2 linked regions of the Astyanax mexicanus genome follow. The protein of the gene in region 1 purifies or fractionates together with the protein of each later gene. This does not show direct contact. Links are inferred from orthologs where the notes say so. Each region holds a gene or a part of one and is shown on either strand. Other genes may lie near its edges.

Region 1 (10,883 bases):
TGAGGATTTATATTTCCCAGGTAAAGGTTTGTGGTGGATGGGTCTCCAACATCGTGTGAGCCTGGAGCGGAGTCGTCCAAAACTGAAAAATCAAAAGCACCAGCTGATCAACTCACAGGGTAAACCGGCTCAGTTCATCATTCACCCATAATAGCTTCCATTCACAGCCAAATGCTCATTAGATTGCATTACACAGTATATAAAGCAAAATTACCACTGGACGGACGGTTTCTTCGTGAAGAACCATCCGCTAAAAAAAGCAGAAAAGCAGTGTAAATTTTGTTTCCACAATAAAACACACACTGCTATATAGTGGGAGTGGCCAATATATGTATGGGAGGGGTTTTCACGAGTGGGTCAGTCCCAAAATAAATGGCTAGCACATAACTGATATAATTACTAAGAATGTCCCACGAGATACAAATAGTGCTGGGTAATACTAATTCAATATTACAATATTTTTCAAATTTTAGATTAAAGCATTACAAGTTACAAGAAAAACCAAACAAAAAACAAGCAAAAAACAAGTGAAAAAAGCTATTTACAGTTGTATGTTTTTTCTTTGAGGAGATGAGACAAAATAAATAAATGTTTTTAAAAAATCATATTGACAAATACATGCACCAATATTAGAGATGCACCATAATGAAAATGTGTGTTCAAAAATCAAACCGAACAAAACAAAACATTTGGCTGAAGGCCAAAAACGCAACACAATTTTGCCACTGAAATACATAGCCTAGTAAATACATTAACTGTTGTGCTTGTTTTTTAATATCTGTTTGGAATAAATTATTTGTACATAATCAATACATTCCTAAATAATATAATATCTCTAATCTGCCTATTTAATGTACTGAAGTTTATCCCCATTCCTTAACACTTTTAAGCTATTAATAGTTCTAGCCCGTGCAACTTTTCATCGTAGAAAAATATAGGGCAGTCTTTAAGGTACCATACTTGTAAGAGACAAATACAAGTTTGAAAATGAACATATAAAATTTTATTGTGGTTTTAGTTCACAAGCAACCATTAAGCAAAACTCTGGGAAAAAAATAAAACATAAGAAATTAAGAGATCAGCTCTTCACATGTTTTTTTTCACTACCGAAGTTGTTACTATCAATAAGAAGAAATTTCACTTTATGAATATATCTAGACTATTTATGCAACAATTAAAAACATGGTCAATTTAATTGGCATTCAGCCAAATGTTTAGTTTTGTTCAGTTTTGGCCAAAAATGTATTTCGGTGCATCACTAACAGGGTATGAATGTCATGGTAGTATATGAGCCACATACTGCCCAGCACTATATAGGTCTCGACTCTTTAATTTTATATAAATACCCCCTGAACAATGCTCCACTCTGCAGTCCATTATCTATTGATTATACTTACAGGATCTTCTTCCCTCCATAGCAGACAGAGGTTCAAATCTACTGACTCGTCCCTTCAGCCTGTGCCGCTCATCCCGCTCCTCCTGGATCCTACAGAACAACAGGTAGAAGACGGTACCGATATTAAGCACTTTATCACAATACAAGTAATTATTTGACCAAAACAAAAACAGGAAATAGAGAACATACTGTTTCAGCTCTTCTTTAAAAAGCTCCAGGTTGCTCTTTTTCTTTTCTTTTTCTCCTTTCTTTGATGCCTTGGGATATAAAGATAATAAAATATTTAAAAGTGACCTAAAAGAAATTTACATACATTTGTTCAAACAAGCATTAAGAAAACAGAGTACTTACATTACGCTTGTCTATCGCAAGAAACTGTGGTGGTGTTTCAAGCGGCAAAAAACTTTTTGCCTCCAAAACACGTGATTTGGGTTTGTAGAGCTTTCCTTTCTTCTCATCCACTGCAGCTTCCTCTACAGGAAAAGCAAAAGCATAGAAAGGTGTTCAAACTCAGTGTCTAATGTCTGCAATGGCACGAATGGCAGAAAATTACATTTTTATGAATAATATATGCATTTCAGCCACCAGGCATCAATACAAAGTACTGCATTTGCCCCTTTTACATGCTGTCAGTGTCAACTAGGGTTGGGAATCACAGGGCATCACACAACAGAATTCATGCACACAAACGCAAATTACGACACTGGCACAGTCCTGCAGTACAGAACAGACCTCGCTGCCATCATACAGTACTGTACTTTTCCGCCACTATACCTTATTTAAATAATTTTGAGTAATTTACCTTTGGTGGCATTGGCGATGCCCCCTCTGACAAAGGTCTTTACTCTGCCTTCACCTCCTTCAAACGCAGCGAGGAACTCTTCATAGATTTCAGCAGCTGCTTTTTCATCCTCCTGTAAATGTTCAGCATAACAACATATTTAATGGAATACTTTCAAAATAAAACTAAAACAGATCAATCTTCTGTAGGATATTCATTTAACATATGCACAGAGAACTGCTATAATTTGGACAAATCCACTTATCATCTACATCTCTACATCTCTCAGTCCTTCCACTGTTCCACTTCATCAGATATCAGTAGTAGCACTGACTCACTCACCTTTTTCTTTAATTCATCTTGTTCCTTTTTGCTCAAGGTTCTTTTAGCCACAGCCATCTTTCCAATACTGAAGGCTTTCAGCTTACTCTCCAACAAAGCCTGCAGAGAAACGTAGACAAATTAGATTCACTGGAACTGGAACAGTAAACATGACAGCAGTGTTTCTGTCAAAAATGAATAAACCTTTCCTTTGTTTAGATAATCATCACTTGTAATATTTTGTTATATTTGTGTGTTAAATTTGAGTGTAGGTGTAGGTGTAGGGTTGTCTCTTATTCTTACGGTTCTAACAGACAAAAAAAAAAACACAAAAAGTGACTCAGTATTGGCCAATACAATGACAATATTTGCCTCAAACTGGAACGCTCCTGAAACTAAATCTACTGCTTTTGCTGGAGTAACTGACTCTACAGTGCATTTTGGAGCACTGCTGTGAAAATTTGGCTGCATTCGGCAACTGCATTTCTAGTGAAGTCAGGACATTGGAAGATCATCACAACATCATCATTGTAGAAAAGTCCCAATGCTTTACAGCTCAATGCTGGGGGATTTATACTTCTCTATCTTACACCTGGCCTGGCATGATGCCAACTAGTTTGTGTTTAATCACTGCTGAGCATACCTAAAGTTAAGGTAGAGATAGCGAAGGTCAAAAATTACTCTAGTAAAACAGAAGTTCTTTCTTTATACCTCAACATGAGAAAAAAAGTATTTGCTTTTCTGTGTAAAAGTACTAGGCTTTTGTGTTCTATTATCATTTTTATACAGAAGTGGATGCAATTGCATCTACATAACCAGTCAAAAGTTTGGAGAGTCATTTTTCATTATTTAAAAAAAAAATCTGCATTGTAGATGAATACTAAATCAAAAAACTATGAAGGAAAAAAACAGGAAATTATTTAGTAAACTAAAAAGTATTAAACAAACCAGAATATGTTTTATATTTTAGATTCTTCCAAGATTCTCTAGCTTAGATGACAGCTTTGCACATTTTCTCAGTCAGCTTTATAAGGTAGTCACCTGGAATGACCTTCAAGACTTGTTGAGAGTTAATTACTTGAATTTCTTGCCTCTTAATGTGTTTGAGAGCATCAGTTGTAAAGTTGTGAAGAGGTAGAGTTGGTATAGAGTGAAAAGCCCTATTTGAGTAATGTTCTAATCCATGTTATGGCAAGAACTACTCAACTAAGTAAAGGAAAAAATACTGGAAGGTCTGTCAATCCAAAATATTTGAAGATCTTTGCAAGCATCCTCAAGTGCACCTGCAAAGCCCATCACACACGTTATGATGAAACTGGCTCTCATCAGGACCACCCAAGGAAAGCCAAAGAATAAGTTCATTAGAATTAGCAGCCCGCCTAAAAGCTTCACAGAGTATTTTGGTTTAACACTTTTAAGTTACTACATGATTCATGTGTTCTTTCATAGTCTTGGTTAGTTTAACAGTCATTTGCAATGTAGGAAACAAGAAATAACATGGAATGAGAAGGGTCGAAACTTCTTTTTGGTACTGTACTTCATTACTGTCCACCACTGATGTTCACCTGTTCCTGAAAGTGCAAACTAGATATTTTATTGGCAGTATCTATATTCTCTACTAACTATAGACTATAGAACTATAAGTAGACAAGCTGTATGTGTACATTTGCACATCAGTATATTAAGAATGGGTGCAACCTAACGTAGCTAGCTGACTAAATAATTAATTAAAAGGGGTCGTCCAGAAATAATTGAAACACAGTGTGTGTAAATATAAATATATATATAAAACCTTTAATGTGAACACCAAGCTAACCAGCTAACACTAGATTATCCAGCAGACCCCACTGTTTACTCAGTCACGTGGTTGGCTAAATAAGGGAACTTTCCATAATATTCGCGCCAAATAATGATTATTAACCTATTAAACGACATTGTTTATCACATAGACTTGTTGTAATACCGCACAGCATGAAGAGAAACGCTGTATAAAGAGCTAAAACAGTCGTAGAAGCTGCTACACAGCTCAATGTAACGCTGACTGGTTTGTTAGCTTGATGGTATCAAACCTAGCTAAGCTAGCTCTAGCTAGCTACACCGTTCAGATTAGCTAGCTAAGCTAAGTACAATAAAATATCACCAATACAATATAATAATGAATTTAAAACGACCATTTACGATCCATAATCGATCTAAAACGCTTATGTACGCTGCCTTTCCGAATATTACCCGCAGAATTTGCTTTTGTGTAGTGTTGAGTGATTCTGACATTTATTAGCGATCTAGCCGTTAGCCGCTAGCTTCCCCAGCGCGAGCTCTTTAACCTAGCTAAGCTAACCGGCTAAATCCACTATACTGAGCAGATTTAACACACACAGGCCCCTCAGAACCGCACCAGCCGAAACCGCGCACACCTAAAACACAACATTTACACAATTAACGCAGATTCGGAGCTTAATTAAAGGCAGAAATGTGCTGAATTACCTTGGAGTTGGCCTTGTGAGCCCCGCCTGGCGTCCTGTCCGCCATCTCCAAGCAGTGCAGTAGCAGCAGCGGGCTGCGTTCAATCAGCAGCAGGAGCTCTAACCCGATTCAAAACAGCAACGTGGAACTGAAATCACTTAAACAGACCCTTTAAAATAATGATAATAATAACGATACATTGTTAATGACTAATAATGTAATATAATACGGATATTATAAAATATTATTTAATAATATATAAAAAAATAATATAATTAAATATTGATACTAAGGACTTTTTATGTCAAAATAGACCTAGGGATTTGCAAATATTTACAGTCTTTGTATCTTTTCTATTTGTTGAACAAAGTATAGTTTGCATATACATTTTGATTTCCATTTCAAAAACCACGAACAGTGGGATTCTATTTTTAATTTTACATTTAACAATATAAAATAACCTTAAATTAGCTAAAATTATAATTAGATTAATGTATAATATTGATCTATCTTATGCTTAACATTATTAAATCCAACTAAAACTTTTTTTCATAACAAATCTTATCAAGTTTTTTCCAAAACATTTTAACAAACTCACAATTCCAAAACAAATAGTATAATAAGGTTTCTGGGTGTACATCACAGAACGAGCAATTTGAAAATCTTTTTTTAATTTGGTTAAACAATGGTTTGTTGGGTAGCATCTATGTAGTACTTGAAATGTAATCTCCTTTCCTTTCTACGTCTCACATATATTGGTTCCAGTAAAATTTTACATTATAAACTGAGACAATGTCTTTTGGAAAAAAAAATGTAATTTGCCATTATTTTTGAGTTCAAAGGAGAAGCATACCTTGCCAATTGCAGTATTTATTGGGTCGTCTACAGCTGTAAAAGTAGGTGGTATTTTGGTTATTTAATAATAATCACGTGGGCTCACATTGGTGAAGTGTGGGCTAAGAGGGTTTCAGGTGGTCATAGGCTCTGGGTGGGTTTGTACAGGTGTTGTTACTGGGACCCAGGTGGGGTTCACAAATGGACTTTATTATTACAGCCTATTTTAATATCACATTGGTCCCATCTAGGACCCATGTACAGTGTACAACCCAGAGGGGATCATGTTTAACTCCTCCTAGTCCCATCACTGACCCTGGTGGGCATATACAGTATACTGGGGGGGGCAACATGGCACTGTAAAAGGTAACACCACTTTTCAACATAATTTTTTAAAAGTTTTAATCTGCATGAAAGGTACGTATGACTAAACACACTTGGGCAAATTACACTTTACTCTTTCAAGATCTTACTTAAATAATGTAGCATCATATTTATGCATGCATCTTCCCTAATCCATGACATAATGGCATGTCCCTTACCATTAACTTACCCTCAGTGTAGTCTTCCCCACCATAGCTACCTTTTTGGGGGGTATTCAGTTACATTTTATATAATGGTTAATAGACTGGCTACGGTGTTGTAAGCCATAATTGCATGTGAAAGGAACTCTGAGCTGGATGAATTTTCCCATTTTTTCAAGTAATAAAGAAAATAGTCTAGCCGAAAGGATGTATTCATTTCATACTCTATTAATAAACAAAAACTTAAACTAGCTTTTTTTTTATTCTTTTTTTGAGTGTTTACTACCTATTAAACATTTCGCTCTATCCAAACATTTCACTCTTTCCAAACATTTCACTTTTTCCAAATTAATCTAAAATAATTTTAGATCATTTTACATTTAATTGTTTACTTTACTCCAGTCAAACGTTTAGACACACCTTTAAATTCAGTAGTTTTTCATTTTTTAAAAAATGCTCTGATTCATAGATTAACACTAAACTCATTTAAACTAAGAAAAAAAAATATGAAATTATTTAATAAAACCCAAAAGTGTTAAAAATACTAGTTTTTTTTTTAGGTTATTTTAGGTTCTTCAAAGTAGGCCCTAACTGTTTTCATGTCTTTAATATTAGTAAACAGAAATGTAGAAAAATAACAAAAACATTGAATGAGAAAGTGTGTCCAAACTTTTGACTGGTACTGTATATATTATAAAATATATTTAATTACAGAGGGGATAAATAAATAAAAAAAAAATACAAAAATAAAGCTTATTAATAATGGCTTATTTAGAGTAGGCTACCCAGCATGCTAATACTTACAGAGACCACACGATTTATACTATCTAGGCTCTACAAATATAATAGTTTAATCATGCATTGTAAAATTATACAAATTTATTATACAAAACAATAATAAAACAGCCCGTACAAAAACACATATTGGTACTGACATAAGTTAACAGACACAGCAATAGGTGTTAAATAAATATTTTATTTTTTAGAAATATTTACATCCTTTATAAAGAAAAAATAAGGTAGAATGATTAAACATGTGATTTTATTATTGCTTTTGGTGATTATTCTGATGATAATGATAAACAGCAAAGTGGTGGTGATGATGATGATGATGGTGATGATAGCTAGCTCTGCTCTTAGCATTCACCGCGTGCCTTAATTGAATGAAATTAAATCAAGGTCCGCCGCGAACACGCAGAGTAGGAGCCTAAAATTGCTTTTCCTGTGGACAAAAATTAGTTTTTATAGGTTTAAAACGTAGAAGCGAATTAAATAAAGCCGGAACGAAATTATTAGAAAGACTTTTCATATTTAACGCGACAAAAAAATCCCAACATTTGGGGGTTAGCCTCTCATTGGCCGGCTTGTGGTTGGAATTTTCCGTTCCACCTTAAATAGCGCTGCAGTTGCATTAGGACGCCTCAGGCCTCCTAATGCAACTGCAGCGCTATTTAAGGTGGAACGGAAAATTCCAACCACAAGCCGGCCAATGAGAGGCTAACGTAATGTTATAATGCTATATAATGGAAAATACCAATACTATCAGGTATGTTATCCATTATAGGCCCAAATTGCGCTTTTCATTTGATTGATTTCGCCTCCTTAAGCCTATAATAATAGTAGCGTTAAATAACACGCTAAAAATAGCCGCATTATTAAGTACACAACATAACACCATCATTTCCAAGCTAAACATCTTGAATACCATCCAAAAAATCGAAAGAATCCCAAAATTCATATAGGAAAATTAACCACAATAAAAAATATGCTGATATTCAGTCACTAGAATCTCCATCCTCGTGATACGCTTTGCAAAAAAACGTCTTAAAACGCTAAAATAAATAAATAAAACACACGTATAAACACACATATATAAGGCTCGACGACCGCAATTTCGACACCTTGTGCCTCCATCATCTTCCAGAGATAGCCCCTCAGTCCGGATGCAACCCCCTCCTGGTCCTTCATCCCGGCTGTTCTGCTGCTGCAGCACCGGAGCATCCTCTCATCCTCCTTATTCTCCATCTTTTCCCACTAAAAAACACGATTAAACGAATGAACACCCCCAATCTTTACCCTTTATTCTGTAGATAATAACCCAGGATGGGGGAGCTGCACCGAGCACCCGGAGCAGGAGGGATGCTGGTGACGTCACAACTCCCTCCCACCCGCCTGCGAAATAAACAAATAAATAAATAAACACTAAAAAATAAATAAATAATGGAAAAAAACATATAATGAGGTATATTACAATATATATTGCAGTATTTATCATTGGAATTAAATAGAAATAAATTAGTGGTGTCAATCGATACAAAATGAATCAAATTAAGTGTGATCTATGTTCCAGTTATGAAAAATATAGAAGAATGTTGTTTTCTGTCTGTAATACAGCTCTGGAAAAAAAATTAGCCCTTAAAAAATGATGAGTTTCTAGGATTTTACCAAATTGAAAACCTCTGGAATATAATCAAGAGGAAGATAGATGATCACAAGCCATCAAACCAAGCTGAACTGCTTAAACATTTGCACCAGGAGTGGCATAAAGTTATCCAAAAGCAGTGTGTAAGACTGGTGGAGGAGAACATGCCAAGATGCATGAAAACTGTGATTAAAAACCAGGGTTATTGCACCAAATATGGATTTCTCTTAAATCTTAACACTCTGAAAACTTTATGAATATGAACTTGTTTTCCTTACATTATTTGAGGTCTAAAAGCTCTTTATCTTTTTTGTTATTTCAGCCATTTCTCATTTTCTGCAAGTAAATACTCTTAATGACAATATTTTTATTTTGTCCGTAGTTTAGAATAAAACAACAATGTTCATTTTAGCCAAACATATACCTATAAATAGCAAAATCAGAAAAGGATGATTCAGAAACTGAAGTGGTCTCTTAATTTTTTTCCAGAGCTATATATATTGTTTGTATTTTTATGTTAATTGCAGTGTAATCATTTGTTACGCATTGTTATTTTTTCTTTTATATAACTTTTTATTTTTTTTATTTCACAAATCATCACTAGGCGGTAAAATTAACCCATAACATGATTTTTCCAATGCAGTAGGTGAAGCTAAGGTGCTGTTTTTGATTGGCTGATACATATTACTAAATCAGGGATGAAATCACGATTATTTTTTTTAATGCTGGTACTTGGAAAGGTGACAAACATAATGGTGTAGTGTGTTTTTAATGTATTATGATATATCAGGGAAGTTTTGATGCTTTTTAAACTAGAATAGTGTAATGTTCTGAGTAACTGAGTTTACCTAAACTTAACTGAGTTTTAATGGAGGACATAAACACTAGTGTAACTCCATATTCCACACTCAACAGCTTGAAAAGAGAAAACGTGCCATCAGTTTTTTGTATGTTTGTGTTTGTGTGAGCATGACCACACGAGTCTGAGAGAAAGACGAAAAGACATACATAAAAAAAACCTCCTGAACTTAACAGTAAGTGTCTCTTAATAAAAGTACTAATGTGCCACCAGGCCCTGTCAATTTTGTAAACTAAAATGAAGATATAACATAAATCTCGATACCTTTCTAAAAAAACTGTAAAACTAATATAAACAAAACACATATGACACCAGATTTCTCCTTTAAGAAGATTTACGAATGATTTAAGACATTTATCATACATTGGAGCAATAGAGCCAAATGCTCCTAATTCAAAAATGAGGAAATATTCATTAAAAAGACAGAAAACTGTTAACATTTTAACATTTTAACAGCCTCAAATTGTAGATCATTTCTAGATAGCTAATGTAACTGCAGTGCTATTTAAGGTGAAATACAAGCTGCCCAATGAGAGTCTAACGTATGTTATTCTGCTATATACTATGTTATGATAAATGATGTAGTTTTCATGTTATGTTATGAGTCAGTTCTGTCAGGCTTTTTGCTGCATATCTCAGATTTTGCTCATGTTTTATCTGTTACTTGTGAAAGATAATTGTATCATATCTTACTGTAAATATATTGTACTATACTGGCCTTACAGAACTTATGTGTTGATTCAGGTCTGTACTGTCATCCTGTAACATTACAACTCCAACTCCAGATTTTACAGAGCATTTTGTAAATATCATATCCTTATAACATACACACACCCTTCACATGTGTGTTAATGAAAGACGGCAACAAAAGTGATTTGATTTAAAACTATTTGTATCAAAATGCTAGAAACATTAATCCCAGCAGAAAAAACAGATGAACTTATTTATTTGTTTATTTTTTGTTACTTATTCATTTATGTGGATATATCCAAGTTATTACATTAATAGTTTTACATGGTTAAATATACTTATAAAATGTATCACAAGTAAATGTAAAAAGTGATAAAAGCAGTTTTTGAGTGCAGAAATATAGAGCTAGAATGTTAGATAATGTGGTTGAATGTTCCTGTGTGAGCAGAGGTGAGTCTGTGCTGCTGACCCTGCTGAGGTCTAAAGGTCAGGTGTGTTGTGAGTCTGAGATGAGTTGCCCAATAACTTTTTCATGGTACTGTATTATAAAAAGTTTTAAGCTGATATTCTATTCTATTCTATTCTATTCTATT
Region 2 (11,493 bases), on another chromosome or scaffold:
CAGGTTGCAGGTTTGCATTACTTTGCCACATTTATCAGACTTGGATAAATTAAATAGTTAAATGTATTTTTTGTTTTGCAGATGTACCTCCTTTAACACTCAGGAGAACAATCAAAAAGTGCCTCACTCCATGCTAGTTGAGATTAATCACATTAAAAAAGTCATCATTTTGTATAAATTATTTGGTCTTTTCACTTATCAATAGGTTGGATAATGGTAGGAATGTCCTGAATATTCAGCAACTAATTTGTTCAGGAAAAAAGTACTAATAAAAAAGTACTAATAGACTAATAAATTCAATCTGCCCTGTGTTTCTTTAAAAATCAACCACTTTAAAACTCACCTTATAACATTATGCTTTGGCTGTAGGCCAAAAGGGCAGATCTATGTAAATAAGCTTTCAGTTGTTTTCATTTTATTGTCACCCTCCTAAAATAGTCAAGAAATAATAGCCTTTTTTCCTACATCATTTCCTCATGATGCTGATCACCTGTGGTAACCTACATCCTTACTTGATCAAACCATTTCATTCTGCACTTTTAGGATTAATGGCCTATGTATGTAATGCGTATAACTAACTAAATAAAAAATAAATCAAAATAAATTGTGACTTCACCAAAATAATTTTCACAACTCAGGGCTCGTTTAAAAATTAGAGATGAGATTTTTACTATAATATAAAGTTTACTTCTTATTAATAAAGGCTATAGGCTATAAATATTGCATAGTTGTTCAGTCTTATTATTGTGTTTTTTAGTCTGGATTTTTATTACATAAAGCTATCTTGAAATGCTCTACAGTTTCTGGCTGTTAAAATGTAAAACATTTGAATTAGGATTATTTCTGATTGGGCAAAAATTAACGAAGCAATTATTTTAAGAAGGTGCTGATCCACAGACTGTGTATCACATGTGAGTTTTACATTTTAAATTTAAATTTTAAAGCATGATGTGGGCCCTATAACTAAAAACACAAATGTATTTATGAATATATGTATATATACCTATATAACATACAGTACAATGTCCAAAAACTGCAGGCTAACATAAGAGGAAACTGCAGAATATCCCACAAGAATCAAACTGTAGATACAGTACAGTCAGTGAATGCAGCTGATCAGTGCAGGTGTGTTTATAATCTAGTTATACAGTAATCTGCAGGGAACAACACTGACCATCCACACACTCCCACCACCACCTAACACTAAAAATAGAAATACACTCTTACCTTTTATAAACTACAAGCCAGCAGGTATAACAAGATTACACCGGCTAAATCATTCACAAATATGAGGATCTGGAGGAGGGAAACCTGTTTGTGTTCTCTTCTCCTTTTTGATCCATACTGAGGAAGACAGCTGGTTTCCAAACCAGGGTTTTAGCTCCATCTAGAGGAGCAGACAGATAAACAAGTATCTCTGATCCACTACCCCCCCTTTTCATCTTAGCATCTGCGTTTATCCATCAGTTAATGCTTAAGCAAATTTTGTTTAATGGTACTTTGACATGGTACAGACATTCCAATCAATTTCCAAATGCAAACAAATACAAAAAAGTACAATTAGTATTTAAAAATATTCCTCTTGATTTGATATGCTATTGTTTTTAATACCATAGAATATCCACTTTTGGGTCCATTAAGAACACACTAAGCCCCCCCCCCCCCCCCCACCTCCCCAAAGTAAATGGTGAGAGAACTCACTGTATTATAAATTCACAACAGTTCATTTTTAAAAAAAGTTTTTATGCAGGTTCATGGAAAATATGTATTACAGATGCAACAAACATAAAATATATTTCAATATTTCACTTTTTATCACACTTACATTTGCATCTACTTGGCATAAAAAATAGATTTATCACATCTTCCTGTTACTGATAATAGTATTCTTGAATCAGATATTTTTATATATCCAGCATGGAAAGCGTCCCTTTGGGGCAAGTTGTAATACCATTTCTGCCACGCAGATGTTTAACAAATTCAATTCATTTAAATTTTATTTATAAAGCGTTTTTGTTTTTTTTTACAACAAATGTCATCAAACGAACAGTTCATGCTTGTTTTAGATTATGGTAAAATGAAGAAGCGTATTAGTAATTCCTGTTATTCAGTGACAATAGTTATATAACAATATAAACCAAAAATACCAAAATACATACTGGGAACCAGCAAAATCTGAACAGTAAGAATCAAATTTAACTTGCCTTGAAATTTAATCACCACTTTCAAAAATGTTTTGGATTCTCAGTTTTCACAACCAAGATACACAAGCCAGAAACATATTACATATCATTTACACATCTTTCTGCAGCAGAATTAGATTTGTATAGAAAACACTGAGATTCCAAAAACCTGGAATTGTAATGTAGACTCAGAAGTCATTCGATGAAGTTCATAAGAGCATTTTCAATCAACAGAGTAAGCACTGATTTGGAGAAGACATTGGACTTGTCTCATTTACCCTCACCAAGTCCCCCTTACCAGCTTCAAGTATGTAAGTTAGCATGCTCTCACTGTGTGATTAATACTCCAGTCCTAACCCATCACCTTGTGTATGGCTTTATGTCTGCGTAGAGCACTTGGGTCAGCAAATGACTTTGGGCAGAAGTTGCAGGCATACGGTTTCACCCCTCTGTGGATATTCTGGTGGAAATTCAGGGTTGCTTTTCGAGTGAAACTCTTCCCACACTGAAAGCATGTGTAGGGCCTCAGATCAGAATGTGTTTTAATGTGAACTCTCAGTCTTTTTTCTGACATCACTCTTTTTCCACAGATAGGACAAACACTCTTACATTGTGCCTGCCTATCATTATTGTGGGGAACAGCAGCAGTCACAGTTCCATCAATCTGTATGAAGGAACACTGTAAATCTCGTGTCCGTGGCAAAGACATTGGGTCATGCTGCAGCTGGTCTTTGTCTCTTTCCTCATCTTCCTCGTCTCTAGAAGACTGGGCATATGGTACATAATGAGTGTTTAGGTCCTCTATGTCTTCCTGCCCCTCCAGAGATAAAGAATTCTCCTCTTCTTCCTCCTCAAAGTCTTTAATGCTGCAGTCGTTCCAGTTGAGATGTGATCCGGATGCAGCGTTGTGCTTTAATTCAGTCTTGAGTTCAGGACTGAGGTCTGAAAGTTGATCGTTTATTTCTGCATCTGTAGAACAATAAAAGAAACACTTTACTGGAAATAAACATACTGAATATGTTTACTAGTACATTCTTAGCTGGTTCTTAATCCAAGACGTGACTATCAGTGCTTTAGCCTGTGAGGACATACCTCTAAGTCTCAAACACTGCCTGTGAGACTCACATATTATTGCCAAAATTCACAGCCTCACACCAAAAACTTCAAACATCAGTGTGTGGTTTTTAATTCAAATGAACAGACAAACTAGAGGGCAAAAGTGGCAGCATTTGTTCTAAAACATTAATATAGTATCTAGCAAATATACATCTATTAAAAATTCCCAAAAGAACAACCTTCTAACGTTGAGCAGGTCCCACTTGTGCAACCTTAACAGCACTGACCTATAGAAACATGGACTCCATAAGACCATTGAAGGTGATCTGTGATATCTGGCACCAAGACGTTAGCAGCAGATCCTTTAAGTCTTGAAAGCTGTGAGGTGGGGCCTCCCTAGGTTACATCAATGAGTCTTAGACACTCATGACCCTGATACTACTTTGGTTCACCAGTGGTCTTTCTTAGGAGCATTTTTTGGTTGGTACTGACAACTGCACACCAGGAACACCCCACAATCTGATGCCTGATGTTTTGGTGATGTTGTTTTTGTTATCAGATAATTCATGTTTTTAATCTTATGGCTTATTAGTGCATGTTTTTTTAATAAATGCCCTTACCATCATCCATGCTATCTTGCATGCACTGGTTTGTAACATACATCTCAGTCACCTCCACTTTAACTCCTGCTGATACAGCTCTCCGCTTCTGCAGCTTCAAAAACAAACAAATAAATGCAATATTTATTTAGTCACTGTTCTACTCAAGTGCTTACTGTATAAAACCATAAACATAAATGTACTCTTTTTAAACAAGAAAGTTATTAAATGTACGGTTTCATTTACTTTGTGATATTGCATGTCCTGCAATATGTTTATTTTGCATATGCACAATGCGTAAACATATACTGTGCAGTCCGAATTCATAATACTGTAAGAAAAAAAAAAAGAAAACTTATTCTTTAGGATTTACCAATATTTTACAAAACTAAGCATTACATATAAATATTTTTGCATTCCACACATGAAGTCCCCTGAATCCAATTACCACCACCACCACCGCAAACAAATCAGAGTCAGGCGTTTCTCAAAAAACAACCACAACTTTACACCTAAACCGACTCTGAATGTCAGTACACCTTAAATGAAAACTGCATAAAACATGTGCCTTATTATTCAGTAAGTGCACAAATCATTCACAACCTGCCCTGAAACAACATCATATAGACCAGTGTTTCCCAACCACTGACTTGGACCTGATTCGTATTGTGCCTACAAGCCCAGGGTTAAAACACACTGAAAGAGACCTTTAAAATCTTACCCGCTGACTACTTTTGACTGCTCCTGTATTAGTCTCCATATTGTTTGTCTTCTGTTTAGAATCTGAAAAGAGAAAAAGTCACGTTTGAGCTTTCCCCTTGAAAAGTTCAATTCTAAGAAGCAAAAGTATACATATTATGTAATTACATATACATATGTATTTAGAGATGTAGGCATCCCTCAATTGAATAAATTAGCATTCTCAATTACCTAATAGGGCTGTGTACTGGCAATACGATATTTATCATAATATCATAGTATCATAATATATGGGTAATCAAAAATTTTTTCTCTATGTATTTCTGTATGAATGTCATAACATGAAAAGCACATAATCAACTGCATAAAGTCAGATTATAAGAAAAGTTTTTTTTGCAATCAGAATATTGGGATCTTGAGGTGTGGCTGGGGGTTTAAAAACAACACTAAATAAACCATTCTCTGCCACGCATCTTTACATCTTAAACGATTTATAAAACAAATATCAGTAGTGCAAAACATAGCTGATATTGCAATACATACATACCTAACATTTAAAAAATGAAAACAACCTTTAAAAAATAAAATGTGCATGTACTGGAAAACAAGTATTTTTGTCTGTTTAAAGGCATATTTTGTTTTTATGTACATATTAAATATATTTTTCCCATTTGATGCCTCAAGACAACGATCTAAATTATTATGTTAGATCATTCTTTGCACATTTTTGTACTGATCTATCAACAAGGACAAGCTCCTCAAAATAGAAGTGAAACGGTTACTTCTTCATAAACAGTCCTGCTATAGAGGGTTACACTTAACAGAGGAAACAATTAACAATTACACTGAATAGAGGGCACAGATTTTTAAATCAAGGAAAAAGATTCATTTAATACATTAGGGGGATTATTTTGTTTTAGGGGGAATGGTTTGTCTTTTTAAAATTATATTTCTACATATATACATTTGGAAACGATGTGAAATACCGATAAATCACTATATATACACTGAAACACATTGTATTCCTAATTAAGCTGCAGCAGAGAAAAGTAAGAGAAGAACAGAGGCTGATTTCAGTCCTGCAGCACTGACCGTGTGATTTTCCAGCCACATCCTCTTCCGTTCTACAGTTTTTCTCTCTAGTTTTTAGCGGAGCCGCTTCTATCGGTTCTGAAATGTTCGGTTCTGATAGAAAACTCTGGAGCTGCCGCCTCAGCTCGTCGTTTTCAGACGTGCATCTCTCTATTTCCCTCTGTAGAGATGAGAAGACGCTGTCAGCCAGAGCGCAGATATCCACCGCCGCTGTTTTAAGCAGCATGTCCAGAATAGCGGTGAGCTGAACGTGGAAATATGTTTCTGCCATCGCGGTAAAATCTGCTGAAACCGGTCACTTCTGAACTCCGCTGAACTCGAGTCTAATCCTCCCGGTTCTCTTTGTTTTTGCTCTTTGAAAAATAATGGAGCAAGTCGCCACCAACTGGCGTGAGCGGAAGAGCCGGAGATCAGCGCGGTTTCCTCTTCAACTTAAAGGCTCATTACAGTCAGCTCGATCAGGGGGTTTCATACAGAGTCTGTCTTAAATTAAGATTAAATATACACTCATAATTAAAATAATGTTATTTTATAAATATTATATGTAAAGCAAAATAATAATAATAATCTGTAAATTATGCTCAGTGATATTTCCCAAAATTGCTTATATATATTTTTATATATATATATATATATATATATATATATATATATTTATTTTTACATTTTTACAAGGATGTTACACATTTGAGAGTGGACACTGTAGTAAGCTAATTTGAGTGAACTGGCTATATACATAAATTATAAAGAAGACTGATAAATCAAGAGAACAGCTTATTAAATCTCTACAATCAATTCAATCAATAAATATAATTTTGTACTCCTATTCCTCTGTTTTTATATTTAACAAAATCCATATTTCTTCATTCTCACTCCCCAGGGTTAATGTATACAGTATATTTTCACTGAACATAATGTAACTTTTAAAATATCCCAATTAAGTCGGGCATGTATTTTGAAATTCAGTCTAACGCGGCCGGAAATCAACTCGGCTCCTGGCGATGGTTTCACAGTGCAGAAAAATTATCTTTCCCTGAGCCGAGCTCTTTAAAGAGCTTTAATATCTCCATACTGAGCTGTAACTCACCGGATAAAGGTCTGGGTTTGATCATTATGGATATCCCAACTCCCCCAGAAGGTGAGATATGAGCAGTAGATCAACTGAGCTTAGCTAACAGCTACCCCGGTTAGCTATAGCCCAGGCTCTGAATGGCTCATGCTGCGGGTTAGCCGATTAGCCACTGTTCACTAAAGAAGAGCCCAGTTGTTTATAACGCGTTAATGGAGCGGTTTCAGGTTACATGTGTAACTGTGTATCAAAACGGCGTGCTTTACCTTCTTTCAGTTAGTCGTAGCTTCTGTTCGTATCTGAGGAGAGTGCACAGGATTAGATAGAGCTAAGCTAAGCTAGCTAATTGAGAGAAACACCATGGCCACTGCTCTTCTGATTAACTTAAACAACCAATGTTACAGAGCCCAGCTTAAGCTATGTATTCTCTCTTTCAGCCAAGAATTATGTATTTCTATCAGGTTATCTGTTGAATCAGAGTTGGTCAGTAAACCCTGGAATCAGTAATAAATGTATTCAGATGTAAACGTATACTTCTGTTCCTTTGCTGGTTGTGCTGTGTGTATCCAGTGCCTGAGAAAGCTAACAATTATTACTCTTTTCTTCACTATATTAATATTAATGACTCATAGCACTTGTTTTCAGAAATTAGACTTTCTGTCTAAACACATACTTTCAAACAAAAGTATAGTTTATTTGTTAACATAATAATGACAGGTAATACAAGTACCTTCCCAAAACAAATTCAGTAGAAGTAAATAGCTAAATACCTTAAGTGTGAATGTACTTGAGTAAATTCAAACGTACATCTGTTAAACATAAATCTGGCAAGTATATCTCTTCAAGACATTTGCCAGTCTTTCTTATTGTGCAATGTTTGTCTAAAATAAATGTTTAACATTACTCATAATGCTGCCAACATAACATAAATTAATAAAAAAATCACCCTTGTCATGAATATACTTGAGTAGAAGTAAAAGTCTAACATTTAAACCATTTAAAAATTCTAATTAATAAAATTGCCCGTATTGTATGTTGATATTTTACTGTATCCTGATACATATTCTTCTTCTATATACATACATAACCATATCACCCAGCAGCATCAGTACATGATTACAGTCACCACAAGCGGATGCTATACTATTCATATCAACTGAAATTAAGAAAAATATTTTGATATTAGTTTTGGACATATTGTTCAGCCCTAAGTACATGTAACAGATTTGTTACTACTCACGGTGATGCTGAACAATAAGTGCTTGTTTCCTAGACAAGAATTAAGTCTATCCAAAAGTAAAAGGAAGCTTTCTTAGCATGTACATTTTGACTCAGTAAACATTCAGTGATCATGGTAATAATTCACATATATAATGTGATTTCTGTCAACATTTTTTTGTGGTGTTTTGTTTTTGTTGTTCCAGATCAAGAGCTTCGCAATGTCATTGACAAGCTGGCGCAGTTTGTGGCCCGCAATGGGCCTGAGTTTGAAAAGATGACCATGGAGAAGCAGAAGGACAATCCGAAATTCTCCTTTCTCTTCGGAGGAGATTACTTTGGATACTACAAGTACAAGCTTGCAATTGAGCAACAGCAGCGTATGTACACTGAAACAGTTCTAACTGCTAGTGCAGCTTTGGGGAACTGGGGGGCAGAGTTTTGCACAGTTTGCTGATTGACTTGGCAATGAACTGATTAGTTAAATTGGTTATAAACTGTGCAGGAAACTGGCCCTCCAGGGCCATAAAGGGTTGTTAAATTAGTGTGTGTATTAGAAACTGAACTGAACTTGTTTGCTTACTAACCTAGCATTTAATGATGTAGCTTCAGAATTAAATGCTTAAAGAAATGTAAAATTCATATAGATTTATCCAGTCAAGTTTTCCCCCCAATGTGCAGGAATGTGCAAATATGCTTTGTTTTGTATCTAAGTCATCCTTTTTTCCTCATAGATCCAACCACTCACGATGATGAATATAAAATGGAAGGTATTTACTAGATTGACAATTGGACGCAATCTATATTTACTGTATAATATTCACACTTTGCCTGGTGTCATTGAGTATTTTTGCATCATCAGTGCTTAATGCCTTTTTCTCTTTATTTTATATTGAGCTTTGTCAGGCGTTTTGTCTTATGTTTTGTACAAGGTTGTGGGAAGGGAGCTTCAGTTGCTTGTGATGATAAAAAAAAAACAGCCTGCCCAGTAAATTCATTAGCATACAAACCCAAAACTGACTAAATAAAATGTTGGACAGATTTGTTTAGGCTCAGAATGGAAACATCTCATTGTTCTTTCCTTAGTTACTTGCTTGTTGTGTTATAATTTTTTTTTTTTTAATTCAGTTTGGTTGTATGACTTCAGTGTAGCCTCATACGTTCCACAGCTCAGTTCCCTCTTAAACAGTTTGTTCTAGTTTTTCATGGGCATTATTAAACACTGAAAAACAGGGCAAACAAAACCAGCATGTGTGAGTACGGTTGCATGCATGCTGTTAATAATATCTCAACTGGATGGCTTTGCTTTGAGAATGCCCATTAAACAAAGTCATTTACTCCTTACAGTTGTTCTTTCTAGTTTTTGATTTTGGATGTTGCCTCTGGTTGTTTCATGATGATGTGTATCTGTTTTTTTTCGAGTTTTTAAAAAATATATATTCTATCTTTTTGTGTTTGTTTGTTAAACTAATGAACTTAGTAGTTAGTACCATTAAAGAATAACTGTGCTTTCAGTTGCAGTGCATTGCAAACCACCTGGTAAAGAAGTCCCAGATGTTCCTCCACCAATGTCCTTGCTTCCACCTCCACCTATCCCCCCCAGTACACCTTCAGTGGAGGAGCTCATTCAGCAGAGCCAGTGGAACCTCCAGCAGCAGGAGCAGCACCTGAACAGCCTCAGACAGGTAACTCCTCCTACATTTTATCTGTTTTATTGGTCAGTTCAAACATACAGGTTGGGTTTATTGTAATTACTGTAATTACAGGCTGTAGTTCTTCTTCTTTATTATCGTCCTTTCATTCTGTCCTTCAATGGTGGGTCATTCATTCTCAGCACTGCAGTGACACTGGCATGGTGGTAGTATAATTAAATGGATCAAAGACAGCAGTGCTGCTGGAGTTTTTAGACACTCAACATCCACTCTATTAGACAGAAGCTCCTCTGTTGCACAGTTTGTGTTTTCATTCTCTAGTCCTTAATCAGCGGTCACAGGATGCTGCTCACAGGATGCTGCTCACAGGATGCTGCCCACAGGATGCTGCCCACAGGATGCTGCCCACAGGATGCTGCCCACAGGATGCTGCCCACAGGATGCTGCCCACAGGATGCTGCCCACAGGATTCTGCCCACAGGACACTGTTGGTGGATTACTCTAGTCCAGTAGTGTCACTGAAATGTTTTACAACTCTATCAACACCACTGTGTCAACATGCACAACACTCCACCATGCCAGTGTTACTGCAGTGCTGTGAATAATACACACCCCAAATAATAGCTGCTCTAAGGTGGTCCTGACTATTAAAAACAGCGGAATTATAAAGTTTACAGAGAAACACAGAAACTAGAGTCTGTGATTATAGATCAACAAACTGCCACTAATGCTCAGTGAATAATATTTCTTGTAGAAACAAGGAAATGGTCATAATGTTCTGCATATAATGTTAATAGAATTGGAATAACACAATTTATACTAATTCTAATCAAATGTAATGTGATTTGATGAAGTATGCACTAATTTTTACAAAACATAAAGGAAAAAGTATATGTTTAATACAATCTTCCCATAAAACATAAGAAATCGTATGTAAAAACATGTATTGTTACTGTTTATACTGTGATAGTCCTACAGTCACATTTATGTATTCAGAAAAAAAAAAATCTTTCTTTAAGCATTGCATTCCTCTAATTAAATGGGACTAAAAAAAAAGCAAGTTCTGCACAAATAAGTATAGAAGTCTGGAAGGTTCACATTCTGGACCACCTTTTTCTCTTTATCTGTAGGAGCAAGTAACTGCAGCTATTGGTTTGGCCATGGAGCAGCAGACTCAGAAACTGCTGGTGGAGACGCAGCTGGACATGACTGAGTTTGACGGCCTCCTCCAGCCAATCATCGACACCTGCACCAAGGATGCCATTTCGGTGAGCAGCAAATAGACCTCACTGTAGAAAGACTTGCTTGCCTTCAGCACCGTAACGTTTAATCTGAGAGATTCGCTGCTGTTCTCTTTTTTTAGGCTGGAAAGAACTGGATGTTCAACAACGCTAAATCCCCACAGCACTGCGAGCTGATGACCTCACACCTGCGCAACCGCATTACAGCAGAAACGGCACATTTCGAGCTCCGCCTACATCTCATCTATCTCATGAATGACGTCCTACACCACTGGTACACCACAGGACTTGGACATAAAAATGTAGTGGCATTGTTGTAGTGTATTCTAATCGTAGTATTGACTTGCGTTGTTATGGTTCCACAGCCAAAGGAAGAATCAGAGGGATCTGCTGGCCGCCCTGCAGAAGGTTGTGGTGCCTATCTATTGCACCAGCTTCCTGGCTGTGGAGGAAGACAAGCAGCAGAAAATCACACGGGTATGTTTGTTGAGCGACCCAAAGTATAAGCACATAGTTTATTAAAGGCATGCAAAATGTGTTAGCTGTATGTATATGCATCAGTCTGCCAGTGACTGTTAACAGAACGGAATCAATTTTGTTTACTAAAATAATACTCAAAAAAATGTAAAAAAAAATAAATAAAAATAAATAAATAAATAAAAAATAAAATACTTTTTCTAACAT

Evidence for each region.
Region 2: the proteins of U2 snRNP-associated SURP motif-containing protein (region 1) and calcium homeostasis endoplasmic reticulum protein purify together in Homo sapiens (affinity purification with mass spectrometry; 4 studies listed by BioGRID and IntAct, with this or other methods). This does not show direct contact. The link is inferred for Astyanax mexicanus from reciprocal best matches to the Homo sapiens genes U2SURP and CHERP.

Annotation. Positions count from the first base shown.
Region 1 is NC_064425.1:41,494,446-41,505,328, reverse strand, and holds the start of U2 snRNP-associated SURP motif-containing protein, read right to left. Parts: upstream 5,085-10,883; 5' UTR 5,028-5,084; coding exon 4,983-5,027; intron 2,619-4,982; coding exon 2,520-2,618; intron 2,311-2,519; coding exon 2,199-2,310; intron 1,870-2,198; coding exon 1,748-1,869; intron 1,654-1,747; coding exon 1,586-1,653; intron 1,487-1,585; coding exon 1,398-1,486; intron 251-1,397; coding exon 215-250; intron 83-214; coding exon 1-82.
Region 2 is NC_064423.1:27,378,220-27,389,712, forward strand, and holds the start of calcium homeostasis endoplasmic reticulum protein, read left to right. Parts: upstream 1-6,604; 5' UTR 6,605-6,742; coding exon 6,743-6,767; intron 6,768-8,122; coding exon 8,123-8,296; intron 8,297-8,650; coding exon 8,651-8,686; intron 8,687-9,431; coding exon 9,432-9,601; intron 9,602-10,698; coding exon 10,699-10,836; intron 10,837-10,931; coding exon 10,932-11,083; intron 11,084-11,174; coding exon 11,175-11,286; intron 11,287-11,493. Other genes in the region: zinc finger protein 615, read right to left, coding at 2,536-3,152, 3,860-3,953, 4,560-4,621, 5,630-5,900. UniProt on the Homo sapiens protein: Involved in calcium homeostasis, growth and proliferation.